Oreochromis niloticus: one gene and its partners. The protein of the gene in region 3 interacts with the protein of the main gene of each other region in a pairwise test. Links are inferred from orthologs where the notes say so. Each region holds a gene or a part of one and is shown on either strand. Other genes may lie near its edges.

Evidence for each region.
Region 1: the proteins of cluap1 (region 3) and myog interact in binary tests that used the Homo sapiens proteins (3 or more experiments, as listed by UniProt). The two-hybrid records come from large-scale screens. The link is inferred for Oreochromis niloticus from reciprocal best matches to the Homo sapiens genes CLUAP1 and MYOG.
Region 2: the proteins of cluap1 (region 3) and cinp interact in binary tests that used the Homo sapiens proteins (3 or more experiments, as listed by UniProt). The two-hybrid records come from large-scale screens. The link is inferred for Oreochromis niloticus from reciprocal best matches to the Homo sapiens genes CLUAP1 and CINP.

Annotation. Positions count from the first base shown.
Region 1 is NC_031970.2:25,640,214-25,647,172, reverse strand, and holds myog (myogenin), read left to right. Parts: upstream 1-4,123; 5' UTR 4,124-4,241; coding exon 4,242-4,775; intron 4,776-5,344; coding exon 5,345-5,444; intron 5,445-5,532; coding exon 5,533-5,651; 3' UTR 5,652-6,364; downstream 6,365-6,959. UniProt on the Homo sapiens protein: Acts as a transcriptional activator that promotes transcription of muscle-specific target genes and plays a role in muscle differentiation, cell cycle exit and muscle atrophy.
Region 2 is NC_031983.2:30,840,575-30,848,361, forward strand, and holds the start of cinp (cyclin-dependent kinase 2-interacting protein), read right to left. Parts: upstream 3,017-7,787; 5' UTR 2,880-3,016; coding exon 2,873-2,879; intron 2,107-2,872; coding exon 1,944-2,106; intron 1,868-1,943; coding exon 1,738-1,867; intron 1,013-1,737; coding exon 883-1,012; intron 1-882. Other genes in the region: uncharacterized protein LOC102079865, read left to right, coding at 3,402-4,050, 4,215-4,406, 7,670-7,787. UniProt on the Homo sapiens protein: Component of the DNA replication complex, which interacts with two kinases, CDK2 and CDC7, thereby providing a functional and physical link between CDK2 and CDC7 during firing of the origins of replication.
Region 3 is NC_031980.2:33,020,689-33,028,619, forward strand, and holds the start of cluap1 (clusterin-associated protein 1 homolog), read left to right. Parts: upstream 1-4,837; 5' UTR 4,838-4,974; intron 4,975-5,457; 5' UTR 5,458-5,503; coding exon 5,504-5,525; intron 5,526-5,644; coding exon 5,645-5,756; intron 5,757-5,947; coding exon 5,948-6,032; intron 6,033-6,131; coding exon 6,132-6,311; intron 6,312-7,931. Other genes in the region: slc5a5 (sodium/iodide cotransporter), read left to right, coding at 1,236-1,304. UniProt on the Homo sapiens protein: Required for cilia biogenesis. Appears to function within the multiple intraflagellar transport complex B (IFT-B). Key regulator of hedgehog signaling.

The DNA of each region.
Region 1 (6,959 bases), on a different chromosome or scaffold from region 3:
CCTGTGTCTTTTTCCTTGAAAGTGTCAAACTTTCCGACTCGTTCTGAATGATCTAAATAAACATTTAGACATCTGAGCAGGTCACCAGATTTTTTGCACAAATCCTAAAAGTGTAAAACACAGAACTCAGTTATTCAAGCAGAACATAACTGTTATTTATAGAGTAAGAAAAATACACCAGCAAGTCTATGAACATATTGAGGATTAGAAGTTAATTTCAAGAAGAAAAAAAAGTCGTCTTTCTTCAGTCCTTTTTCTTTAAAGAAAAAAAAAATCCATTGTCATGTTGGAGGGACTGTATCTTCCCATGCACAAATGAGATTTCTAAGGTCCCTTAGAAAAAGGCTTATTGAAGCCCACCAGGCTGGAAAAGGTTACAGAACTATTGCTGCACTTTCTAGTCCAACAATAGAAAGTCAGACAGATGGCGTAAATGGAGAAAAATTGAAGATCATTGTTACACTGCCCAGGAGTGCTTGATCAAAAAAAAAAAAAAAAAGATCTCTGCAGCAGCAAGATGGATCATAGCCTGGCAGGTAACAAAGAAGCCAAAAAAGGTTGTTTCTAAAGTGTTCACAAAATTTCAAGCAAAAGTCAAAATTGAATGATTCTACTTCCTTCCAATTCTCAGTCTAAATAATAGGTTAGCGCTCATGCTGGACACTAAATTGCCAATTATTATGGGAACATCCAAATGAAGTAGAAACAAAAGCATGTATTTTATTTGTTTAAACAACTTGTGTATCCTGTTGTGCGTCTTATATCGTAATGTATCTCACTGGATGGAAGACCTGGCTTAGCCACCTCTAATAAACAGTTCCTCGCTGTTGTTATGTTATTCTCCTCTTACATATCTGAGATTTCCCGACTGCACTCAGATGACAGCTCTCCAGGTCACTGGAAATCTTGAGGCTAACCTGGGGTGAGGAGGACTGATCCCTCCCTCCTCCCCCAGAGCTCAGCTGTCCCACAATGTGCTGTTGCTTGTCACTGAGGAGAAGTGGAACAGTGTTGCCAGTGACAGGGCAACACCCCCCCTGCTGCACACAAGGGGACCCTTAAACACTCTGGACAAGAAATACATTATTATATTATATTATTAATATTTATTTAGTAATTTAATCAATAGCTCTGATACTTAGAATAAATCCAAATGTCACAATAGGTATTAATTTTTTATATTTTTTTGCATTATTTCTTACATGTGGCCAATCAATTATAATTAAATTAGAGCCAGCCTATTTTTCACTGGTTTGGCCTATTTTAAGATGGAAAATAAAGTACAGTATTAACAAACCACAGGTAAACAAACTGTTCTGTATCTTAAGTGTTCACTTCAAATACTGAGGGACACACACACACACACACACTTCTCTAGTTCTGCTGACAATGGGTTAAGATGACAGAGGGTTATGAGTGATTCTGACACACTGCAAACCCCCTCCTTGCTGTACCCCTGAGTCCAACACAGGCTTCTTTGTACTCACTCCACCATCAGTGACGATCCATCACAGACTAACCTGACAGCCGACCCAGCCCCGTGCCAAGCTAAGACTGTGCACTCTGCCTCAAACCCAAGCCCAAACCCCAGGAGGAGACCACAAGCCACCAGACGGGCCTGCCAAACCTCTGCCTGGCACCTAATCCCAGGACTGAAACTTCCCTGTAGATAATTCACATTGTAAGATTTTTTTGTTTTGATTGTGTCTAACTGAAACTTTGTGTTTGTTACCTTCCAAATGATATAAAACACAGGTAAAGAATAAACGGTCAGAAATAAGAGGCTCTGTTCCATTGTGTATCATTAACCCTTTGAACCAGCACAACCCTGGAACGCTTAAATGGAAATCAGCTATCATTGGTTGCACCTGTGCTTTCTCTTACACGAAATGTCAAAATATCTGCCACGAACCATGCCTATAAATATGTTCTTTTAAACAAGCTGCTGTTATTTTTAGGCAACGCTGATCCACAATAAAAATAAATAAATAGAGGCTTTAAGGGGCAGTCATAATGAGGAAATGAGTTATAATGAGTTCTTTCATCCGAAATAAGGTTTGTCTGTGTGAGCTTGTCGCTGCTTGTGGAAAAAAGTCAGAAACTCAACAATAAAAAATTAATCTGAGCAATAAAAATATGTATTTTTTTGATGTAGATTTTCATCTGGGTGAAAAGGCCTTGTTGACACCTTGTTGATGTTAGAGGAGAATAGACAGACTGGTTTGAGCTGATAGGAACACAACAGAAACTTACTTGTTGCAACCAAGCTATGCAGGAGAGCATCTCATCAAACCTTATAATATGCAAGGGCTCACAAAATTGGACAATAGAAAACTGGAAAATTGTTGCCTAGTCTCAGTTTCAACAACAAGATCTGGATGGTAGAGGTCTAGAGAGAGAACTAAATTACAATATAGTGTTAGCTTGCAAGCTAACATGTAAGAAGGTTTTACACTGGTGTAGTTTAAATATTAAAAGCAGCTTTAAAAAAGGATAGGCTCCTTGGTATGTCGAACTTTCAAAATTTTCACATAAGACAGGAATTAATAATGTGTTCTTTAATTTTATAACACAGGGACTCCAGCAACACTTAAAAGTAAAGAGGAACAACTTTATTAAATGACCAACGCGTTTCGGCTTGTGGCCTTCATCAGGGTCATACTCTTAAGTGTTGCTCGAGTCCCTGCGTTGTGAGTTTCTCATCCTCTCCACGCACCTTGGAAGTAGGTGAAGTGACAGAATTTTTGCTGTTCTTTAATTTTATAAGCAGGAAAAGTATAAAACCTAGCTTTTCACATCTTATCGTGACACCATAAAGACCTTAGTTCTTCTTCATTTTCTCTATTTTAAATATTGAACTCATGGTATCCACTGATATAGTATTGTTTACTTTTGTTTCAAAAAACTTGTATTTACTCTTTCATTGGTTGGAGAATAACTTAAAGCCTCAATGGCATTGGTATTCACCAGACCTTTCAACCCTCTAAGTTTAATGAACTGTGGTTACTAGGAAACTGCTAGCAATTTGTCTCTTCCAAAACATCTCCTGAGAGGTATTATATTACTGTGATAAACGTATTGTAAAGAAATAGAGCACAGACTCATGTAACACTCCTCATGATATGCCTGTCACTCCAGGCCACTTCTCTGCTGACAGAAGTGTGTGTTTTGGCTGTGCTGCAATGTTAGCGGAAGCTAGTCAGAATTAGCTGATGAGCTACGAGGTGAGACATGTCCTGGAAGGATTAACACCCAGTGGCTAAGCTAATGCTATGACTTGCTGGAAGAGGTCAGGACAACCAAGGCCATTCCCTCTGTGTGGCTGACTCATTACTGTCCCTTAAATTCTGGGAGTAATGTGAGCCAGCGTCAGCCTAGCAGCTCACTCTGCTCATGGTTCCTGCACAGACCTGCCTGGTTCTGAGGCTAGTATAGCTCAGAAGGTCACTTGCATCACATAGTGCAATCGTCTCAGGATGAAAGTCAGTGGATATGAATGCAGTTACATAAACCACAGGAACAATGTCACCTAAGCTTTTTTTGGTATTGACCAAGTTGATCGCATTATGAGTCTGACAGTGCTTCACAGAGGTCCAGAGTAAACAACAGTCTCTTGCCTCATTGACTTCCCATCAAAAACCTGAAGTCAAACAACGTATTGTCACTGTGTGCCACTGGCTCCCAGCAGAAGTGACAGCTGTTTCCAGAATGTCCCTTCTGCCTCCCCACTTAATGATGGAACTCTTCATGTTCGGAAGGGGACGCAAGTCTGGGATTAACTTACTAAGATGGACACCTTTGATCTGAGGCTGTCTCTCCCATTTCAACCTGATCATGTCCTGGCCTCTTAAGAAATACATGAGCGCACAAACCCACAGAAAAACACGCACGCGTACAATTGGGCCTTAAAGCCCTAGAGAGCAGGGCCAAACAGAGATGTGATGTGTAGATGTGCAGCAACAGCTAAACGTCGTGTCAGGTTTCTGGGGGCTCGTGCTAAATTTAACCCTGTGATCCAGCAGAAGGCAGAGGGGTTTAAATGCCAGCCTACAGTTGCTCCACACCAGTTGCTCTCCACACGTCTTCCACTCATCACAAACTCAGGCCGGGAAGAAGATAGCCGCACACACGTACACTCCAACGCAAACTCCAGACACAGGACAGAAGAGCGCATACTGAAGACTAGTTCCTAGGGAAGCTGGGATCTTTGTTCCCTTGTATCCAGACCACAACTGTCCAGTATGGAGCTTTTTGAGACCAACCCTTATTTCTTCCCTGACCAGCGCTTCTATGAAGGAGGGGACAGCTACTTCCCCTCTCGCCTGCCCGGGGCGTATGACCAAGCTGGCTACCAGGACAGGAACTCCATGATGGGCTTGTGTGGGAACCTGTCTGGGGGTGTTGGAGTTGGAGTGACAGGTACCGAGGACAAAGCCTCTCCATCCAGCATGTCGCCTCACTCCGAGCCCCACTGCCCAGGTCAGTGTCTTCCCTGGGCCTGTAAGCTGTGTAAAAGGAAGACAGTGACCATGGACCGCCGGCGAGCAGCCACACTGAGGGAGAAGAGACGCCTAAAGAAGGTGAACGAGGCCTTCGATGCTTTGAAGAGGAGCACGCTGATGAACCCCAACCAGAGGCTGCCCAAGGTTGAGATCTTGCGGAGCGCCATCCAGTATATTGAAAGGCTCCAAGCCCTGGTGTCCTCCCTCAACCAGCAGGACACTGAGACAGGACAGCAGGGTTTGCTCTACCGGCCCAGCCCAACTCAGCCCAGAGTAAGTAGGACAGAGACAGGATGAGGGAAGGGAGAAATTCAAAAAAACAGAGAAAACAGCCAAGAGGGAAACAGAGTTGGGAACAGCACTAGTTGGAAAGTGGCAGAAGATATGGGAGAAAAATGAGCGGTACAGTAAAGAGAAAGATAAATACTACATTAAACAATGACTGGGGTAAAATGTCAAATCAAAAATGTGTAAATTTGATTATCTGGTCATGTTCCTTTTGATTTATTCATTCTGGATAAGGTTTGATGTTATGCATATGTATTCAGCCATATAATGAGCAAAAATGTTGTGTTTTAAAAGGTTTTTAAAAACATGATGCAGTGTAGCTCATTAGTGTTTTTAAAGACACTGACAAGAACTCCTGTGACAGGCGTCGTAGTAATGGAAAGTCTTTTTCATTGTGTACATTTGCCTCTGAGTGGGGTCACGGGATGCATTAACTATATGTGCATTTGTGGTAGTACACTGCACTTTAGTGTGTGTTGTATTTCTGTGTGGCGTGCTGTATCATAACAGAGTGACTGACAGCAACTTGTGTGTGTGCATCTCCATGGCAACAGGTGTCGTCGTCAAGCGAGCCCAGTTCAGGCAGCACCTGCTGCAGCAGCCCGGAGTGGAGCAGCACTCCAGAGCAGTGCACGCAGAGCTACAGCAGCGAGGGTAAGCACAGGTCACTTAGTCCCATTAAACTAGGTAGACCAGGCAGCACCTTTACAGATACTTAGTGTCTAACTGGGTCTTTTTGCAGATCTCCTGAGCGCTGCAGACTCTCCAGAGCAGGGGAACATGCGGGCCTTGACCTCCATTGTGGACAGCATCTCTGCAGCAGATGGACCTGTGGCCTTTCCTGTGGACATTCCCAAATAGACCCTCAGACCAGCCGGCCAGTAGGTGCACAGCGAGCCTCAAACAAAAAGCAAAGTGACCTTTAATCCTAAATTATGTCTATTTTGTGCTTCTGCTGATTAAATTATTTTGTCTTATGCCAAATTACAAAATGTTTCCATTTGACGAGTATTGCAGCTCTGTTGATCCACGGGCCAGCTAGCCAAACTGACTTTTCCTGTTCACATTGAGGCTTTGTTCCCTTTATTTCCTGTATTATGCAATGTTCCAGACCTGTTTGTCAAAGCTACAGGAGATTCAAAGACTTTGCTGCATGAACCCAACACATATTTACTACACGTGATCCCTGTTAGGCTTGCCTCCAGATTTATAGAGCCACAGAGGAATGACAAATCCAGTTTTCTTTCCTTACTTAATTTAAGATTTCCTCTTCAAATGCTTTCCCTAATCTTTCATTCATTTTTTTTGTGTGTGTGAGTTTTAATGCTTAAAAAACAAGAGTTTATTTGTGGGGCCAATATGTACCATGGCAGTTTTGACCAAGATCTGCTTAATTTAAACTGATTATGAATGCTAGTGATGTAAATACGTTCCCTTTTTCTACAGAGTGGATTTGCCATTTTTATTTTTTTGCTAACTTATTTTGGACTTTTATAACTAAGATTGTTGTGTATTTGTAGATGTTCTGAAAAGTGATATTTTCTGTTTAATTCTTACAATAAAGACCATTTTCAATACGCTGTCCAGTGTTGTTTTTAGCCTATAATACAATACGCTGGCACATATAACTTAACAAGGAACACAGGATACCAAATCTTTAAAAAACAGCTTTACTTATGTCTATATAGTGTCATAAATACATTACACTTCTTTTTAAATAGCCAAATAATAAAATCTTGATTTGTCAGCATTGTTTCACACCTGGAATAAAGACACAGTACTCATAGCTGCCACATAGCACGTTACACCTTTTAGACACCTTGGAAAAACTTTCAAAAAAAAAAGAAAAAGAAAAAGATTGTACACCCATCCAGCACTTCACTGGTTCATTTGCTGTGTTCTTATTGGATGAGGAGTTGGTGAGCCAAGAGTACTGACTGCTCAATCAGAGCAAGATTAGACAAGTCTGTCACGTGGAGCAGTTTCATGTGGATTTCATTGGCTGATGTTGAGCAGCAGTTTACAGTTTGATTTTGAGAGAATGTAAGGAATCAACAGAGAAGAGCTACAGTGGTCACACTACCATCCACAGAGAAAGTCATGGTCGCATGGCTGGGGCCGGCCTTTTCACACGAAATCTACTAGTCTCAAGCACAGAGACTCATTTAG
Region 2 (7,787 bases), on a different chromosome or scaffold from region 3:
TCTCCTTCATCTCTGTGGACAGTGATGCTGTCAGTTTCCTGCATTGCAAACGTTTACTGTGTTACACTCTGATCACCGATCAATCATTTCTCATAGTCACCGCTGGAGAATATCTGAGTGAAGATGAGCTCAGATGACTTTTAGACTCTTAAACTGAGACTGTGACGTTTCAAAGCTGCTGCAGACAGTCTGATTGTAATCGGATTACATTTCAGTCCTTGAATGTCATCTAACCACATTTTAAAGGTTCCGAGTCTGAGCCTCGACATGTTTGGATCTGCTTCAAAGAATCGCAGGCCCCGGAACAGAGTCCTCTTCCACGGCAGGACGGATCTAAAATGGATTCAGATCACAGATTCAGACCGGATCCGGTTCCAGCTCATCCCGTGTTACTCTATTTGGATCGTTTACAGCTTCTGCATCCCTGACTTCAACCCTCTCTGCTCAGCATGTGGGCAGCTGAGTGAAAGCTGAGCCACGTTTGTCTTTTATCATCAAAGTCGTCGGCTCGGAAACTTTGGTGTTTTACTCAAACAGTGACTGTCGGGCAGCCATCGTTGATCGTGAAGTTGATATGAGATCAGATTATAACTGTTGACACAATTTAAGTCCTCAAGCATTTTTATCCTATAATGGCAGAATTAATGGAATTTGTTATTGCTACTGATGGAACGGGCAGAAACCGCACCAGAAACAATTGAATAAAATCTGAGTAGAGGGCGGATCTGCCTGGAGGCTGTTGCTATGGGCAACTAATCTCACAGCTCCATCAGTAAACTGTGGCTGAATCATTGGATTTAAAGTGAGATGTAAAATTAAGATTAAGCTTCATCTGACCAGAGTCCAAGCTGCTACACGGTTTCCATCAGCCACGCTGCTCACCGAACTCTCTGGTGCTCCAGCTGTGAAACAGAGGAGTTTTTCTTCCTTCGGCTCCAAACTGAAACGCCTCCAGATCCTCTACTCCACGCTGTGATGTCATCAGACGATCCATCTTCGTCACCACAGCAGCCTGACGGGAAACAAGAAATGATGTCACACAAGAGGTCTTGACGCATGCTTGACGCATGCTCGATGATCCAGGTAATCCCAAAAAGTTGATTCTGTCACTTGGAAGAGTGACGAAACGTTTCTCCCACTGAAAACGCTGCGTCCTCATGAACAGAAACAAATCTGATCAGCCTATCAGAGCATAGCACGGATCTATTTCAGCGCCTTCATCGGTCACATGACACGTGTAAAATGTTTGCATGCTCAGAGGCTCCAGCAGAACACTGATAACCTCCTTCCTGATTCCTGTTATTGATTATTATCTTGCTTGATTAGCTCTGTCTGGGAGTTCAGGTTTAACTGATCCAGCTCACTCAGAGAAAGCTGGGAAATAGTGAACCTGATGATGGCATCACTTTAAAATCAACAAACTGAGATTCAGTTTAACTTCATAAAGCAGTTGTGCACATCAGCCCAAGGAGGAGGAGCCTTAATCTGTGTCACATGCTCAGTCAAGATCAATACTGATCAGCTTTTGTTCAGTGGTCAATAAAAGCTGTTTTCTCATTTTCTTTTGAAAGGTCTGTGTGAGCTTTTACTCTCTGCACTCAAATTATTGATCACTGATGGGGCTGCTGTGTGTGTGTGTGTGTGTGTGTGTGATTATTGATTATTGATTGGATTCTGAACCAGTGTTTTGTTTTTGTCTCTGAACCTAAGTGTAAATAATGTTTTTTGAAGCTTCACCATTTTGTCTACGATTTCCTGCAGTTTGAGACATTTGTCCTGCAGCTCAGAAGCTCCGCCCACGTGCTGTGGTGAGGAAGAGGGTGGAGGCGATGAAGAATTGTTGAGCAGCAGCTGATCGCTCTGAGCACTGAAAACAGATTTCAGATTGATCAATCACATGATCCATCAACACCTGGCATTCCTGAGATCATCAGTAAACTGACCGCCTCATGTTGACGATGCTTGCTGCCGCCATGAAGCCGTCCTCATTCAACCTGTCCCACCGCAGCATCATGTTGTGCCAGTCGGCAGCGTTGTCTTTAATCTTTCTCGCACTTCCTGTGATCGCAGCAGACTTCCTGTTTGCTGACGTGACTGAGATGTCACCTGAGAACAGAGTCACGTGATTTTGTTGTTGAGTGTTTTAGTGACAGAGTGTGCAGGCGACACGACAAGACAATCAATAAAACTTGTGTAAACCACGGTCCTCAACGTGCAGCTCGCCGCCTCAAAGCAGCCTCTGTCACTTCCTGTGATGTCACAGCTCAGAACGTGACAACAACATTTCTAAACTTTTTGTCAAAAAAATCATTTAAAAAACATACAAATGTCAAAAATAGACATAAAATGAAGTAAAGCAAAATCAAAACAAACAAATACATCATCATTCAGCCGTCAAAGGTCAACCGTAACCAACCCTAACCCACCATGAAGCAGGTTCAACATATCCAGGATTTCTTGCCTTGTCTGGCTTTACTGATCCTGACCTCGTCCACTCGAGCTCTGCAGCAGAGGTCACCTTATCCAGGTAACTCAGGGTTTACCTGGCTTTAGCCGGGTCAGGGGGTATTTCACCATGCTATGCCGGTATGAAGCTATAATGTTTCCTGCTGATCAATAATCGATACCAAGCTGCCCACCTTCATGGTCCACGTGACTCCAGCCAAAGGTGAAATCCTACATGGACCTCAGGTGTATACATATGACGTCACTCTTTGTTGTCGTTCTAGTCTCTGAGCTCTGACCCTGAGCGCGCGCCCGCATGACCGCTGATTAATAACGGAAAGGCTTACGCCAGTCAGCTGATAATTTTTGCTGCGCGTGCCATCGATCAGCTGGTTAGTCACGTGTGGATCGATTATCAATCACCCACCTTCCATCTGATCGATCAGCTCCGACCAGCTCCGCCCGCTCAGCTTCTTCTTCGGTGGTTTTTCTTCCAGTCGTCTTCTTTGACCGCGGGTGTCTGGTTTCCGGTCTCGGCTCTCAGGTGAACTCACCTGTGCGCGAGAAGCTCTGTTCTGACCTTAAACTGGTTTTCTGCTCTTACACGTGACTGACGATGCCGCCCTTTCAATTCTCTGACATGCGCAATAGCGTCTGAAACTTACTGGCAGTGACGTCAGCACTGGAACCGGATGTTGTAAGTAAGTGTCACTGCGCCTGCGCTAAGACTGGGACTGCCGTACTTTTACTGACTCTCTTTTTCTGTGGAGATCTTTTAAAAGCTGGCGATAATCGATAATATCACGCAGGCGCAGTTAGAGTGAGAAGAACTGTCGGAGTTGACCACAGACACGATCAAGGATCGATATCAGCTAATCAGAAACGCGGTGTTGTGGCTGTGATGACGTCAGGGCCGCTGCTCAGGTAGCTCCCTGATCGATAATCGGAGGTGAGAGATGGCGCTGCAGCTTCCGGCCGAGTTGTGGCTGAAGGTGTTCAGCTTCCTGTCCTGGAGGGACAAACTGAGCATGCGCTGCACCTGCTCATACTTCAGACACCTGCTGGATAAGTCCCGCCCCCTGTGGAGGGGCTTCAGCGTGGTGCTGCAGAACCTCTCGCGCTACAACCCCTCGTTCTGGCGTAGCCTGGCTCAGAGGCACGTGGGCAACGTGCTGCTGCGCTCAGGTAAGAGGAAGCACCTGAAGCAGCTGTACACCTGGCTGCCGGCGCTCTGCGGCCTGCGACTGGACGACTGGAGAGAAGGGGGCATGGATGATCTCAGACTATTCCGCCAGCTTCAGCGACTGTCCGTCACATCCGGTTCTACACCGCTGAGGAACCTGGACTTCCTGTTTCCTCTGAGTCAGCAGCTGACACAGCTCGGCCTCTGTAATGTGCAGCTCACCTGTTCTGCCTCTCACCTGTTGGCCGCCATTGGTCAGCTGACGCGTCTGACCTCACTACTGCTGCACCATGACGGCAGCCTAAGGGTCCCGTCCCTCAGCGGCGTCCTCGCTCACCTGACCGAGCTCACACACCTGTCCTGGACCATGATCACCTACAGGACGCTCCCACATGACTTCTTCAGCCCCGCCCACCACACAGGTAGGCACACCTGGATCAGTCACTTGCTGAGATATTTAATAGTTAGATTATTGATCTTGAAGGAAGGGAAGGGTAGGCACTGGTGTGTTCTGCCTTCCTGCTGAACCTGCCTCACCTCTGAGATGGAACAGAGGTGAGATCACATGTCACGTATCGTCCTGCAGGTGATGTTGCACTACAGCTGCTGGACTTGCAGCTGCTGAATTATGACGCCGTGGTGACACAGGAAACACTGCAGCCTTTGTCCCGCCTCCGTACCCTGTCAGTGTTCCACCTGTACTCCGTACCTGGACCCACCTGTCACCTGCAGACGTGGCTGACGTCACTGCCACACCTAACCAACCTCAGCATCCACGGTGAGTGTGTTTCCCCCCTTTGTATTTGTCTATCTGAGCATCTCTCTGATGTCTGCAAGTTCAATAGAGATTGAAAATGTGATGTCATTCTGGGGTAAAACTGCAAAGGATTGTGGATACGAGTGGCAAGTGGTACTAGCGCGCACAGGGTTTCACAAGAAAACAGTCACACGGTGATAAAAAGAAACACAAAGAATGGCAAGAAGCTGTTGTATTATTAACTGCAATAGCCGGTCGCATGACAGCCACGGGAAGCCAACGGGTAAAGAGATCGGTTGTTATCGTATTACGTCGTGGAAGAGAAATTGTTAAAGCCGTGTTTCTGAAGTAACAAAGAGCCGACGGATGGCCTGGATTGCAGCCATTCAAAGACCAAATATAACGTCCCAGAACACTCCAGCTCACATGTTAGTCTGCTCCAAGCATTTCCACAAAGGTACGTCTTCTGTTGTAGTTATTACGTAATTTATCATAACATAATTGTTGATGTAGGTTACAAATAAGTCTTATATTGATTTGAATTGAATTCGTTGCGTTATGCTGCTTTGTTCACTGTGGCTTTGCGGGCTAATGTTTGTTGTGTTTTGTAGGAAAACCAGCCTACAAAATGCTGGAATGCATCCAGACCAGGCACCTCTATCACCCTGGGTCATACCGAGGTTAAAGCTGCTACCACAGCCAGATTTGATCCGTTAAGAGAGAGAGCGATATCAAAACAGCCACGAAACGTCCCGCATATATGTGCCCAAGGGGGTTGTATTGTTTTGTTTTTTGTTTGTTTTTTGTTTTTATTGATTAGCATTTAAATATCTCAGTGAATATAGAATAAAGATTACCACAAAGCAAGAAAGCATGAGACAAGGCTAATCAAAAGGTATTGGCTGAAGCATTTGCTTATTACGCCAACCCTTTTAACAAAAGATCTTTTTGAAGCAATCAAGTGATGAATAACTGTTTTCCAGTATGTTGTTTTGCAGTGTTGTTTTTTTGTTTTGTTTTTTTGCATTTTTGATTTGTTTTTCACCGAAGCAGCTAATAAAGAATGATGGATTTTTACAATTTTGCCTCTTTCTTGTAAGATTCTATAATAGAATCAAACAATAATGCCAGTTATAAATAAAGACAATAAATTGAATGAATTACGAAACACTCATTTTATTTCTATTAGATCGGAAAATGTTGTGTAATACCACAACCTGAAACCACAAATAGATGCGTTTGCCTGTACAGGAGATAAAGGAAAAGAATTTAACAACAGCTGTGAAATGGAATAGTCCAAATCACCAAAGTAAACTGGACCTGGGCTTGTTGCAGGGATCTGAAGTTAATAAGATAAGATAAAAATGTATTAATCCCTCGGGTGGGTTCCTCTGGGAAATTCAGTTTCCAAATAGCCCAGCACCGACAGAACTTAGAGAATGTGAGCAGAATAGCATACACATATATAAATAAAGAGACATGTATAAATAAAGAGTATACAAAAGGGATAAATAGAATAAATAGGAATAAGAATACAAGGGAATTGCACATTTCAAGTATTGAAGTCTATTGCACCGTTGGTTATTAACAAAAACTATTGCACAGTGAAAAGGCACTACAGCTTAGTTGTCCCCCCCTTCCTTTGTCCTCCTGTTTCCCCTCCCTCTCCCCTCCAGAGAGGAGTTAAACAGTTTGATGGCGTGTGGGACAAAGGAGTTTTTAAGTCTGTTGGTTCTTGTCTTTGGGAGAAGCAACCTGTCACTGAGCAGACTCCTCTGGTTGTTTATGGCCGTGTGCAGAGGATGCCCAGCATTGTCCATAATGTTCAGCAATTTCTTTAATGTCCTCTTCTCTGCCACTGACACCAGAGTGTCCAGCTTCATGCCGACCACAGAGCCAGCCTTCCTGATCAGTTTTTCCAGCCTGGATGAGTCCTTCTTTGCTGTGCTGCTCCCCCAGCACACCACAGCATAGAAAAGTACTCCAGCAACCACCGACTGGTAAAACATCCTCAGGAGCTTCCTGCAGATGTTAAAAGACCTCAGCCTCCTGAGGAAATACAGTCGGCTTTGGGCTTTTTTATACAGGTGCTCTGTGTTCCATGACCAGTCCAGTTTGTTGTCCACCCACAGCCCGAGGTACTTGTACTTGTTGACCACCTCCACCTCCTCCCCCTCTATCTGAACCGCCAGTGGACCTGCTCTGGACCTCCCGAAGTCCACAACCAGTTCCTTGGTCTTTGAGGTGTTGAGTTGCAGGTGGTTAGTGTGACTCCATGTGACGAAGTTCCTCACCAGACTTCTGTACTCCTCTTCCTGATTATCCCAGATACACCCCATAATGTCTGTGTCGTCTACAAATTTCTGAATATGGCATAATTCAAAGTTGTAGCAGAAGTCAGAGGTGTACAGGGTGAAGAGAAGAGGGGACAGCACAGTTCCCTGTGGTGCTCCTGTGCTGCTGACCACAGTGTCAGACATGATGTCCTTCAGCCTGACGTACTGTGGTCTGTCAGTGAGGTAGTCGGAGATCCAAGCAACCAGGCAGGGGTCCACCTGCATCCTGTTTAGTTTCTCCTGGAGCAGACAGGGCCGGATGGTATTAAAGGCACTGGAAAAGTCAAGAAACAGGATCCTGACCGTGCCTTTTCCCTTGTCCAGGTGTGAGTGGGCTCTATGTAGATGGTACAGGACAGCATCCTCCACTCCGACACCCGCCTTGTATGCGAACTGTAGTGGGTCCTGGGCATGTTGTACCTGTCGTCGGAGGAGTTTGAGGAAGAGCCGCTCTAGAGTCTTCATAAGATGTGACGTCAGTGCCACCGGTCGGAAGTCATTTAGCTCATTGGGCCGGTTCCTTTTGGGGACCGGGACGATGCAGGATGTCTTCCATAGTAATAGTAATAAACATCTTGTGAGTGTATGCACTCACACTTAGAACCATATAATAATAAATATGTGCGTGATGAAAGTTGGGCAGCACGCTGACGTCCTTACTCCACCCTGTACGCTCGTATGGGTCTGACCCTTTCACTCCTTTGATTTTTTCGTCGTCCTTTTTTTTGCCTTTTCGTCAAGTCTGTCTTCGTACGAACCTGCCGTGTTCTCCGTCGTTTTGTACATAACTGTTTTGGGGGCAAATAAAATGCAAGTAGGGATTAAAACCGCAGAATTAATGATTACCGGTGCTGGAAATACTAGCGCTTGATGCAGTGTTTTGATTTTGTTGACACTCGTACCCACAATGCAATGCGCGAAAGTCACGTGATCTGTCAATCTCTACAGGAGGCCACCCCCTGTCAGCGTACGCTGACTTCCTGCCCATCTCGCTGCTCAGCCTGACGCTGTGCGTGGACCTGCAGCCCGACGACCTGCGGGTGGTCTCCACCCGGGTGCCGCAGCT
Region 3 (7,931 bases):
TTATAAATAAACATGTGACATCAGAGTGGAATATGGAGATTTTTTTGGTGTTAGTGTAAACACAGAAATTATGATCAGTCTGTTAAAGATTTCTTGTCCAAGAAGTTTTCACTTTTCCTTATTTTAAGTATGTACTCATCAGCCACTTTGTTAGTTACACCTTGGTCAGAGCCTCGTTTTTTAATCACAATAGCCTTAATTCTTCATGACACAGATTCAATAAGGTGTTGGAAACATTCCTCAGAAATTTTGGTCCATATTGATGTGACAGCATCACACAGCTGCTGCAGATTATTCGCTGCAAATCTTCCCTTCCACCACATCCCGAAGGTGCTTTATTCTATGTTTATGACAGTAGAGGCCATTTGAGTACAGTGAACTCATTGTCATGTTCAAGAAGTCAGTTTCATCAACAACGATACTCTGGCTGGCTGTGGGGATAAGACATTGCTTTGTTGGTAATAAGTGGCCCAAAACATGACAAGAATATTCTTGTCCTTACACCATTGCACCACCAGTCTGAACTGTCAGTACAAAGCAGGATGAATCCATTCTTTCATGTTGTTTATGCCAAATTCTGACCCTAAAATCTGAATGTTGCAGAAGTTGCAGAATGTTGTTCTTAATCTTCTATTGCCTAAGCTTGGTGGGCAAATTTACAGGCTGTTTCTTGTTCTATGCTGACAGGAATAGAGGTATTCATTGTGGTCTTCTCATGCTGTAGTCCATCTGCTATGTTGTGCTTTGAAAGATGCTCTTCTGCAAACCTTAGTTGTAGCAACTGATATTTGCGTTGCTGTCACTTTCCTATCAGCTGAAAGCAGCCAGCCATTCTCCTTTGACCTTTGACATCATCAAAGCATTTTCCCCCAGGGAACTGGGGGAACTCTTTCTCAGACCATTATCTGTAAACTTTGGAACTTTTTGTGTGGGAAAATCCCAGCAAATCAGCAGTTTCTGAAATACTCACACCACCTGACACCAACAACCATGCCACATTTGTCTTTCCTATTCTGATGCTTGTTTTGAATTTCAGCAGGTCGTCTTAACTGTGCTTACATGCCTAAATGCATTGAGCTGCTGCTACCTGATTGATTATACATTAGTTAAAAGCAGTTGAATAGGTGTAACAAAGTTAGTGCATAAAGAAGGCATTATTGTAGATTTGTGTCAGCCTCTTGCTTTTTTTTTTTTTTTTTACTTTTTCTCTAACTGTGGTTCTGTTTTGTTTTCAGGAGGGAGACAAAGTGTCAGAAGAACTACAGTGTGTGTCTTTGATGAAGATGGACAAGCAGGACGAATGAAGTGGAGGAAGACCAAAGAGACAACAGAAAATAAAGTCACTGCACAATTCATAGCTGTTAGAAGACTACTTATCCCACTGGAACACATCATGGTGCTATCTTCTCTCTATCAGCACTGATAAATTTAGGGGTTGTTTTCATTTTCAAAGTTTTTCTCTCTATATCTTTTGGTTCTAACTCTGCCTCATATTTAAGTTACACCTTTGCCAAGAAACTATAAGTACAGTCTATCAGAGGTGATGAAAGGCTTTCATGGGAACACTCATTCTGGTATGTTCCATATTCCTAACAATGCACACCTGCACTTCAACCAGCATTAACCGACATGTGGGCAGGTACACTGGGTATGCTTAAACTGTAATTCAACCCTTGCTTCCTCATTCAGCAATCATTTAACATCTGCTCAAATGAGCCTAAAACTTCCTCCTAAAGAATGAGGGTTTTTTCCCTTTAATAACGTACCAGTTATGACTTTCTACTTAACTGTGGACTGCAGGTCTACCTCTAAAAAAAACAAAGATAAATGGCTCAGTGGCCAAGATCAATTTTACACAATTATACAAAAAGGCATCTGAGAAATAAAAAGAAAGCCACCTAACCTTCGATGCAAAAGTAACCCCATGCGTGTAAACAAGAAAAATAAAGGGGTAAAACAAGCTATTCCCCGGTTCAATTCCCTCAGAGTTTGGAGCTGAGCTTTATTTTTTTACGCTGCACTTGTTTTCTGCAGCCATGCAACATTACGAACACACCCCATCAGCACAACAGAGAACACCCTCTTTGTACTTTCAAAGTTTCACACTTCACCCTAAATGCACAGCAAATACAACTAAATTCCACACCACAACACCTGCGACTGCATTCACACCTAAAGTGTCCTGACAGGAAGTGAACCGTTATTGCTGGGTATATATATTAGGTCATAGTAGTCACACAAATAGTGATATTTATTGTGAGATGTATCCCTCTGGAATCTTGTGTGCTAATTTAAGGCAATAAATATAAAACTAAATGAATAAACGTTATTCTCAAAAATGAGACCTCAGCGTAAGAAACAGGCTGAAGAGGTTTGTTTTGTGAATGATGACCCCTGGTGATCAGTTACTGTCACACAAAAAATGCAAGAAAGAAAAAAAAAAAAAAAAAACCCACCCACACACGCGCATGGCTGCATCCATCATGGCTGCCAACTACATAGAAATCAATGAGAACGAAAGTGTTTTATAACACAGTAATTTCATTTATTGCATTTTAAATCAACCTTTCATCCATGGTGGCCTTACAAAAGTAAACATATTTCGTCACACTCCATTTTCACTCTTATAAGCTGGCAGGAATGACTGCAGTTCAGTCTTTAAAGCGGTGAGGTTGTGCTTCCGTGCACGTTTGTCCTGAACCCCTCAAACACCTCCATGTTGTCGCATAAGCTACTGGGTTTCTTCACCACTCGTCCGCGGCCCTGTTAGAGTCCTCGTCGGCTACAGCACAGTCCAGGCGCTGCACACCGGGAAGCGCCAGGTCCCGTTCGTTAAGCTTTTCCAGAAACGACGAAAGGAGTCGTTTATTCAAATGGTCCGTCAGCGTCCTTTCCTCTTCGACCCGCTCCTTGGCCACGTTTCTATCCGGCTCCACTTCCTCGATTTCGGTATCCGCGCCAGGCTGCTGCGGAGGGCCGGACCGGTGGTTCAAGGACAAGCCGTTCGACTGCTCGCCTTCCACGGGCTCCTGCTCCGTCCAGCTCCCGCCGTCGGCCCCCGATTCGGTCTCCATCCGCGATATTAAAGTGGTCTGCAGGGCGGCATTCTCCAGCTCTTTCAGGCGCTTACTGTGGAGGCCGCAGGCTGGAGGTTCATTGCCAGACGAGTTGTTCTTGTTATGATGGGCCTCGCCGGTCTGCTCCATCATGCTCTGCGTCTCTTTCTTCTTCTGGGGGTTTAGCGGCCAGCTGGCGTCTTTGAATCTCACTACTGCCCTCTTCTGGAAGAGGCTCGCTCTAATCTCAGATTGGTTCCCTGCACTGTCCTGAATGCCCTTGCTGATACATGTTTTCTATCTTTTTTGGTATTTCACTAAAGACTAAAGTGATGTTTGATTAGATTTTCAGCATTTTAAACTTTCGTCAGAAGAATAAAAATATCACACATCCACAGATAATGATAATGCGTCCTGCAGAGAAAACAAACAATCCGTCAAATCAAAAATGTTGGTTCATAGAGAGATTTCCTCTACATCAGGGGTGTCAAAGATAGGGCTCGGCGGTCAGAATCGGCCCAGGAAAGTCTGCCTGACCAGAATGCTTTGGAAAATGTGAAGGAGTGCATAGATTTCGGACTGTATTTTCTCAAGTTTTACAGCTTTTTCTATTGATAAACACCTCGCTCATACCCTACACTTATGTCATAGATAAATGACAGAAAAGTTCCTGCTTTTCCAGCATCTACTATATGTACTATAGAAATCTTCTGCTATCAAATAAAAGAACTTTTCAAGGGTCGTGTATTTACTATTTTACACCTTTTATCATGGACAAAACATAGGAAATGCTTTTCTTATATAAAGATAAGTCAGGGTTTAGATGTTTACCTAAATGTCTTTACAGTGACGGAAAGGGGAGTTTCACTGGTTTCACTTGGTTCACTTATGATCAAAGTGAGTCGTACATGTCCCACAATGTAAAATCAGTTTGACATCCCTGCTTTACACACTTCACACAAATGCAGGAAAAATGTACTCTTCCACATTTAATAAGACTTTTTATTCAAATGGTTATTCTGAAGCATTTTATTTGACTTTTTCCATCTTGTGCTGCTTTATGATCAACTAAAGACACAAATACTGTGCTTTCCACTTTATATTTGAAAGTTTAGTTTAGGTTTCTACAGATATAATGTAAAAATCCAATGACTACAGTTATACCCTAAACTACGGGGGGTGCTTCCCAGTCCAATCTGTCGTTTTTACTAACTACAATGTTGTTTTCTTTGCCAAATGATTAACACTTCTCTCCAGTGCCTGTTTCCATTTACCTTTTATTAAAAAAACTTTTAACTGGGTATTAATATTCCCTTTTAACCAAAGTATTTCTTTGATATATTTTTAATACACCCACCTTTTTATTTTTTTGATATACAAATGATTTGGTATTAACATGCAAATTACCTGCTTTGTTTTATGTTTTGGGATGCTGTGTAAAATGTTAATAAAAGTAGAATTCAATGATTTTGGAAATCTCATAAGCCCATATTTTATTCACAATTGAACATTGAAAGTTTCCATTTATTTCTTTATTTTTTACAGTTGTGCTACAACTTGAAAATGGCACACAACTCCACTGTATAGAGTGTAATTGTGGATTTGACATCAGTGAGGGAAACATAGATTTTATAAGTGTGATTTAAAAAAAAAAAAAATAGAAGTGTAGAAAACATCGTCATAAAAGGTGTAAACTAAAAACTTTTTTTAAAACTTATTTTAGTGTAAAACAAGTGTACGCTACTCCTACTTATATATACAGCACAATCCAGGCGATGCACACCGAGAAGTGTGTGTAAGCTATTTTATGGCAGATAACATTTTTGAGTGTCTTGAGCTTCCGTAGAAGAATTTGGTTTCCATAGAGACCGTCTCTCATAGCGGCCACCGATCACTTAGCTTGGAGCAACTAGACCAGGTAATGATGCCTGAAACAAGACGTGTTACGTTTAATAACAACTAATTTCGTCGTTGAAAATATATATATTGTCTTTTCACTGATTAACGTAAGGTTAGTTAAAAACCATAACAAGCGATAGCTTTCTACTCACTTAAAGCCTTCTACGAGCTAGCTAAGCTTTTTTGTCTGAAGCCATGCTCCTTAAACTACACCAAGATTAGGTTCACATATAACATACGGTGTCCTGTGCGGGAATACAAATCAGCGGGGAAATCGTCGGTGATTCTATCACAGCTGTGTTACAGTTTTTAAAATAGTGACTGAAGTCTGTATTTTTTAGCACAAAGTTTCATGTCGTGAATGATAATCACGTCAGCTCTAATGTAATAAACCCCAAACACTAAATTCTCACTGAAAACCTGCCAGTCTCGAAGATAAACCTACGTGCACAGTCGGTAGCTCGTCTGCTGTTAACACATGCTCTTTCTTCTTTCCTGCTAGAGGACAAAGTGGTCTAAGCTTTGGCGCACAGTGCAATCAGCTGAAAATGTCTTTCCGAGATTTAAGAAGTAAGTGATGTTTACTGTCTGCTCTTCGCTGTTTGTAATGACCACTTTTTTGGTTTGTTTATTTGTTTTAAGAAGATAACTGAGTGAGAAGTTAATTGGAGTTTTATGTTATGTGTCAGATTTCACAGAAATGATGAGGGCCTTAGGCTATCCTCGCTTGATCTCTATGGAGAACTTCAGGACTCCAAATTTCTCTCTTGTGGCAGAAATCCTGAAATGGCTTGTGAAGAGGTATGCTTGAGCCTAAAAAAAATCGAATTGTTTATCTAAATAATCCTGCCACTGTTAACGTCTGTCCTCCACATTTTTCTGTCTGTATTTGTACACGGCCATGTTAAAGCATCATGTTTCTAGTGGAGGATACTGTGATATATTTTGCTTTTTTTGCCTTTTGCCCCCTTTCCTTCTTTTCATCCTTATAGATATGAACCTCAGAGTGATGTTCCTACTGATGTGGACACAGAAGCTGACAGAATATTCTTCATCAAGGCTGTGGCTCAGTTCATGGTGACATATTCTTTAGTATTTTATAAACTGTAGAGTTTATTCTTGCCAAATGAATGTCCGTTATTACTGCATCCTCAACAGTGTCTCCTTGTGTTCCAGGCAACAAAGGCTCACATCAAGCTGAACACTAAGCGTCTCTACCAGGCTGACGGCTATGCAGTGAAAGAGATGCTGAAGATCACCTCAGTGCTGTACAGTGCTATGAAAACCAAGCAGATGGCTCTGGGAGACAAAGTTGAGCAGGACAACAGCAAGTTCAAGTTTGACCTTGGCTCTCGGGTGAGGTGCAAACTACGCTGTGTGTAATGTTACGCCTGTTTTACTAAATCCTCTGTCACATACTTTATTTACATTATGAGACTCTCATCCCTGTGGAATTTAAAAAAGAAAATGTGCACTAGGTGACATTTAATTTGGGGAAGTGTTTGAAACCAAGATAAATTAAAGCAAATACCATATATGCAGTGTTTCAGAATGAAACAGCCATTCTTATTTCCTCACAGGAGCCACTTCTGCTAACTGCAGCTGTAAAATGTCTCAGCGATGAGCAAAGTCTGCTAAATGTTCTGAGGATGCTGTGTATTATATTCAGGTCCCAACAACAAGTACAAAATTCTCAGTGTTAGCACATTGCGTAATTAATGTGGCTAACACTAATTAAATGGCTTTAATGTTATGAACAGGACAGAGTGTAGGTTGTGTTTTTACATTACCTTTTGTGCTTCAGTGCAGGATAAATTCAGCTTTTTGCATTTACTTGAATTTATGTTTCTGTTGTTATACAATGAAACAACTGTGAATTGGTGACACAGATATGGCTTTTTAAGACTCTGTTCACCAGCAGTCACTTCCAAACATTTTCCAAGCTGTTCATCTGCAAAGTATTGTGACAGAATCACCATGCACACAAATGTAAGACAATAGCTACTTAAGTTTTGGCTGTAACTGAATAATTAATGTTAGAAGCAACAGATTGTCTTAATTTTCCTTAAGATTGAGTCTTAGTACTAAATTGTATCCAGCTCTGACATACAGTGCTGTGCAAAAATCTTTTTTTGTACAATTCTAACAAGCTTAATTTTGTGTGACTACCTTTTATTCTTCAACACAGCCTGAACTCCGTTAGCCAAGTTTTCTTCTAATTTCTAAGTAATTTTCAGGAATAGTTCTCCAGGCTTCTTAAAGGACATTCAGTGTTTTTCTTTGAATATTCACTGTCTTTTGTTCATTTTTCTGTCCAGACGATCCCACACTGCTTCAATAATGTTGAGGTCCGGGCTCTGGGAAGGCCAATCCATGGCTAATAAGCGTAATTTGTAGTCCTGTAAACGTGCCTGTCTTTGTACACATTTCTCACATTTCTGTTCAGACAGCAAGCAGAGAGGGATTTTTGTCTACTGCAGATGTGCTCCTATGCGGTTCAAGATCGAATGACCTATGTATCTGTCAAATGCTGATTGGCTGACAAGTTGGCCAGAAAAGGGAAGGGAGGGAAGGGAGGAACAGGAGCAGAAGGGAATGTGAGAAATGCAAAAAAAAACAAAAAACCCTTCAAAGATAAAAAAAAAAATAGTACGAGAAGTACAGACAGCGGCTGTAGTGGACACATTTCATTGTTTTCAACGCTCAGTTTCACTTCAGATTTTTTTATGTTACAACTTCACTCTTCTCCACTGCTGGCTAATGGACCAACAACAGAACAAACAAGGATCGCCTACAGACTAGTTGCACCACATACTTTGTAGGCTGTCTCCATCGACAACAAAGCTCTCTGCAGGTAGATGGGCCATCCTGGGACTGCAAATATGCGCTCCCTGCTGAACCATAAATTCAAGAATAGTTCTCCAAGCTCTTTGAAGGACATGCAAAGCTCTACTTTGGATGCTGGATGTCTTTCGT